Saccharomyces cerevisiae S288C: one gene and its partner. Each later gene encodes a partner of the first gene's protein in a complex. Each region holds a gene or a part of one and is shown in the gene's direction. Other genes may lie near its edges.

What was found. Proteins that work in one complex are often made in the same cells at the same time.
Region 2: SNP1 (region 1) and RDS3 share a complex: the UniProt entries of both Saccharomyces cerevisiae proteins name them as parts of the spliceosome.

The regions. Positions count from the first base shown.
Region 1 is NC_001141.2:244,157-247,221, reverse strand, and holds SNP1 (U1 snRNP complex subunit SNP1), read left to right. Parts: upstream 1-1,662; coding exon 1,663-2,565; downstream 2,566-3,065. Other genes in the region: YIL059C (uncharacterized protein), read left to right, coding at 307-672; YIL060W (uncharacterized protein), read right to left, coding at 396-830; ARC15 (Arc15p), read left to right, coding at 2,760-3,065. UniProt on the Saccharomyces cerevisiae protein: Involved in nuclear mRNA splicing.
Region 2 is NC_001148.4:718,710-721,460, forward strand, and holds RDS3 (U2 snRNP complex subunit RDS3), read left to right. Parts: upstream 1-1,927; coding exon 1,928-2,251; downstream 2,252-2,751. Other genes in the region: ubiquitin-protein ligase ASR1, read right to left, coding at 849-1,715; Arf family guanine nucleotide exchange factor SYT1, read right to left, coding at 2,328-2,751. UniProt on the Saccharomyces cerevisiae protein: Required for pre-mRNA splicing. Involved in regulation of drug sensitivity and may play a role in multidrug resistance.

The DNA.
Region 1 (3,065 bases):
AACTGACTTTGATTATTATTTAGTTAGTAGGCAACTGTCATGTTGCAACCACAACAAGCAACAATCCTTTCACCATGACTATTATAAGCGGCCGGCAAAATTGCCGGGAAAACTGCCAGGGATATAATGCAACCTTCATTTGAGCACTTAAAATAGAAGATAACGTTGGTAAACCCCCCTTGATAGTGGACACATCCTACGTAGATCTCTCTACAGCCAAGTCGTATATATAGCAGCAAATTGCAACCAACCACATGGGACATAGGAATGAGTGGTTTTCTCAGACCCTGAACGTGACCGTCCATCATGAATTTCTCCACAGTTTTTCAAGCAATAATCGCGGTTTTAGGTTTAACTACAGTCACAGCTTTAGCAGAATTTGATTTCGACGTAGGCTATGAAGAGTTTGTCCGTACCAATCCTGATACGATTTTCTTAGAGAGTGATATTGGCCTGCACGTTGGATATACCGAGGGTGGCGAACGACAGATAGCAACGATACCACACAATTCCACGCTAGGGACTTCACTACGTGAGTATAGTGGCTGTGGTGGTAATGGTACAGAAACCTCCATCGCTACCCCCGCACCTACAATGAGTGAGGTACCTATCGCTACCTTCGTGAAACGTAGAAAAAGTGTACCTATCTTGCTACCGCAGGTATGTATGTGAAGAGTTGGTGAATTTTGAGATAATTGTTGGGATTCCATTTTTAATAAGGCAATAATATTAGGTATGTAGAATGTACTAGAAGTTCTCCTCGAGGATTTAGGAATCCATAAAAGGGAATCTGCAATTCTACACAATTCTATAAATATTATTATCATCATTTTATATGTTAATATTCATTGATCCTATTACATTATCAATCCTTGCGTTTCAGCTTCCACTAATTTAGATGACTATTTCTCATCATTTGCGTCATCTTCTAACACCGTATATGATAATATACTAGTAACGTAAATACTAGTTAGTAGATGATAGTTGATTTTTATTCCAACAGTATGGGAGGTATATGAACCCCTACAACCACTCATTTAGAAGTGGGGGACTGTAGTTCTTTTATGAAGTAACGAAATTTTATGAAGTAACAACAAATGTTGTTAATTGTAATCTTAATAATCTAACATTTAATAAATCTTGACCTTAGACTTTTTTGTCTATTCATAATATGCTGATATTACTTTTCTTAAATATAAATATAATCTATATAATATTATTAACGAAATGTAGGAAGCTAAAAAAAAAAAAAAAAAAAAGAAAGAGACTTTTATGCGTATATTTAGGTACCCCGGTACTTACTTCTGTATATATAAATCAGTGAATCAATACATATTTTTTTTTAATGTTTTGTCCTTATAACGCGACTTATTCAAAAGAAAAAAAGAAGTCCCATGCAAAAATCTTGTCATTATTGCGAATGGATATATCAGTGAGACCTTTTTAAGGTTGTAGGGAAAAGGAAGTACGCTTCATTACAATTTCGTTCATGTCTTGCTCGCCTACTTGTTTTGCTCATAAATCCCATCAGCACCATTGTATGCGCCCTTCGTAGGAAATTAACGCATCTGAAGAAAAAAAGAACTGCAAGATAATGACACACAGCACGGTCATCGACTGTCGAAAGGAAACCTTAAAAAAGTAATCGGCACCTCAACCTTGATGAATTATAATCTATCCAAGTATCCAGACGACGTGTCGAGACTTTTCAAGCCAAGGCCACCTTTATCTTACAAAAGACCAACCGATTACCCATATGCGAAGAGACAAACAAATCCAAATATCACTGGCGTTGCAAACTTACTATCAACCTCTTTGAAGCACTATATGGAGGAGTTTCCTGAAGGATCTCCAAACAACCATCTCCAAAGATACGAAGACATCAAACTTTCCAAGATCAAAAATGCTCAATTGTTAGACCGGAGACTACAAAATTGGAATCCTAACGTTGACCCTCATATCAAGGACACAGATCCCTACAGAACGATATTTATTGGGAGGCTACCATACGATCTTGACGAAATTGAACTGCAAAAGTATTTTGTTAAGTTTGGCGAGATCGAAAAAATTAGGATAGTCAAGGACAAGATAACCCAGAAGAGTAAAGGCTACGCCTTCATAGTTTTCAAAGACCCAATAAGTAGTAAAATGGCATTCAAGGAGATTGGAGTACACAGAGGTATCCAAATCAAAGACAGAATCTGCATAGTCGACATAGAAAGAGGCAGAACCGTTAAATATTTCAAGCCAAGAAGATTGGGCGGCGGCCTAGGAGGCAGAGGCTATTCCAACAGAGACAGCAGGCTTCCAGGAAGGTTTGCAAGCGCAAGTACATCAAATCCCGCCGAAAGAAATTATGCTCCCAGGCTGCCACGCAGGGAAACTTCTTCCTCCGCATATAGCGCTGATAGATACGGCAGTTCCACATTGGACGCGAGGTACCGTGGAAACAGGCCATTGCTCTCCGCCGCCACTCCTACTGCTGCTGTTACTTCTGTATATAAATCTAGAAACTCACGGACTCGAGAGTCTCAACCAGCTCCCAAAGAAGCGCCCGACTATTGAATATAAGTAATACTTAAACTCTGCTACTTGTTGTCTATGATTACCCGCACATCAGTTAATTTGGATACTTTTTTCCCTTTCTCAGACTTTGCCCCTATAACAAAATAAGAGAAAAACAGCCCGCATTTAACACAAGATACTATAGCAAAGGAGACCAGAGAAGACTCAACACAACACACGCGAACGATCAAGCAATGGAAGCCGATTGGAGGAGAATTGACATCGATGCATTTGATCCAGAGAGTGGCAGACTAACCGCTGCCGATCTGGTACCACCATACGAAACTACTGTCACATTACAAGAATTACAACCTCGAATGAATCAATTGCGCTCGCTTGCCACAAGTGGTGACTCTTTGGGAGCCGTTCAATTACTCACAACCGATCCTCCATACAGTGCAGATGCTCCAACAAAGGAGCAATATTTTAAGAGCGTCCTTGAAGCATTGACACAAGTCAGGCAAGCCGATATTGGTAATGTAATCAAAAATTTGAGTGAT
Region 2 (2,751 bases), on another chromosome or scaffold:
ATTAAATCAGTTATTTTTTATTTTGTAGTCATCAATTAGCCCCTTCGTTAAAGAGACCAATCTAGTACAGTGTGAATATAAAAAAATCATCATAATAAACTAGTCCGCAACAGTCTCTTTTATCATCCAAATCAACTGATAAGGAATAAATTGAAATAAGAAACAAATTTCCGAAAAAATCAGATGTCTTGTGACCAATCATCAATTCTCCACTAAAGAACCATAATGCCATCAACATCGCTCCTTTAAAAAATTTGTACACAAAAGAACGATGAGAGTAGACGGCGACCCTTTAACAGATACTAATATGTCCGCCCGGTCGACAACAAATCATCATATCAAAAGGAAAATTAAAAATTCCATTGCAGGCATGAAAAAGATAATAATGAAAGATAAATGCTTTCTTTTCTTCCCTTCCGTGGCACCCCTCATACAAGGCTGAAACTTAACGAAAAAGGGTTGTCGACATGTAGTTAAACCACTATTCAGTCGGAACAATTGGTATATGATTAATAATTTTTAATCATAGGGGAGTCACACAGAAAGAAAATGGAAAAAGAAAAAAGGAACTCATATATTATCTCTTCCAAGGGACCTACTGGTCGCTTAATCTGCCTCTTTGTAGTGCAGTAGCACTCACAATGGTGCTATATTTGAGTTTGTTCAACTGTTTTCTATTGAAGACGAAGAAGCAAACAAAGGAAGATGTGAAAAAAAAATTCTATGGGTCAAACTTGTGCTTTTATACGTCGTACGAGAGATGGGTCACCCGCTTCTGAGGGTTTTTTTTAGGGCTCATACTAGAGTATTATACTGTTTATATCTTGTTTTAATGTTATATTGCATTACTACTCATCATGACAGTAAATTAGGAGTTCTGTGTGCACTCCAGTTCGGGCTAAAGAGTCGTAATCGTACTGGTCAGGCAGGTACTTGTTGTCAGAGAGACGGTACAACTTGCGGGATACTTGCTTGTTGACGTGCTTGTAGGCATCCTTGAAGCGCAGCAGAGGCAGTGGGTACCGGTCCAGTGCTCGTCGCACGTGCATCTGGATTTTGTGCTTGGCATTCCGTATCTGTTCATACATCTGCTGTGTCTTGACGCTGTGCTTGTCCCGTAACTCACCAGCAAAAATCATGGAATTCCTGGAATCGTAGCTAGCAAGTTGGCTACTGATAGCACCCATGCGCAGCTCGAGCAATGCATTTGATCTACAATCTGTGCACTCCTGCCACGTATTGCGATCGCCCACCTCACAAGCTAGCCCGCGTAGACATGTTTCGTGATATATTGCTTCGCAGTCTTGGCAATACAGGCTTAATCGAGAAACATCTGTGTCTCCGCATATGCTGCACTGAATTATCTTAATGGTATCCATCACCAGCGTACCTCTAAGCCTTTCGCTGAGAAATTCTATTTCTTGGTCTTGCTCCCCTGTATCGTCCTCATTTCTTTCGTTAGTTGTTTCGGCCCCCACATAATCGATAGCATTCTTAATCATAAACCCCATCTTCAAATTTATAGAAAGTGCATGTTGCCCTTCGCCAACTTCTAAATGGGTGGATTCAACCCTGCAGATGGGGCACTTCAAGTTGATACTATACTTGTGCCACTCTCTTATACAGTTTAAGTGGAATTTATGCCCGCAAACGTTCAAACATCCAAATTGTTCACCCTCTTGGTCATCTGCCAAACAAATAGGACACTCTTCCATCTTTTTATATGATATTTGGATATTTGGCTGAGGGTATGGTCTCTCCCTTGGCTCAACTCCTTGCATCTTTTTTTCTATTTTTTTTTCTCACTTTCTGTTCTTCCATATATGCATTACTTGCCATATTTCTCACTTACTAAGGCATTCAACATAGAAAATGAAGATGGATACAAAAAAGATCCACACACATACAAGCCTCCAACAAAAAAAACATGTCCCGCCATCAGTTTGATCTAATAATGTGCCTAAAGCAGCCTGGTGTACAGACAGGTCTTCTTTGTGAAAAATGTGATGGCAAATGTCCTATCTGCGACTCTTATGTAAGGCCCAAAAGGAAAGTTAGAGTATGTGAAAACTGTTCGTTTGGTAAACAAGCTAAAAATTGTATAATTTGTAATCTAAATGTTGGAGTCAATGACGCATTCTATTGTTGGGAGTGCTGCCGCTTAGGTAAAGATAAAGATGGCTGTCCTAGGATCTTAAACCTTGGCAGCAATAGACTGGATAGACATTTCGAGAAAAAGAAAAAGGTATAACACATACATATAGAATATGTAAAAATATATAAATAAATAACATGCATTTATAACCCATGGTACTATTTTCTTCCCCTTATTCGTTACTATATTCGTCGTAACTACTGTCGCTCACGCACACTTGCAAACTGTTCTCGTTGAATAAGAAGCTTTCCTCTATATCATCTATACCATCACTATCGTCGTTATTGCCTTGCCCCTCCTCTTCTCCTTTACCATGCTCTAAGATATTCTTTTCAGCCTGCTTGCGAGTCACTTCTTTTATGATACTTACAAACAGCTCGCTTCTCTTAATTTCGTAGATTAACCAGTCCATTCTGACAGCCAGCTGTCTTATGCGGTTTATCATATCTGTCTTAGTCTTTGTGCTAATAGGAACACATTTTCCCATAAGCATCAGAGTGCTTTCAAATTTTTTCAATTTCTCCCATTTGGCTGATTTTATAGACCTAAGTCTTTCCATCCTCTGCAAAATGGTAAGCTTTCTCTTATTACAAATA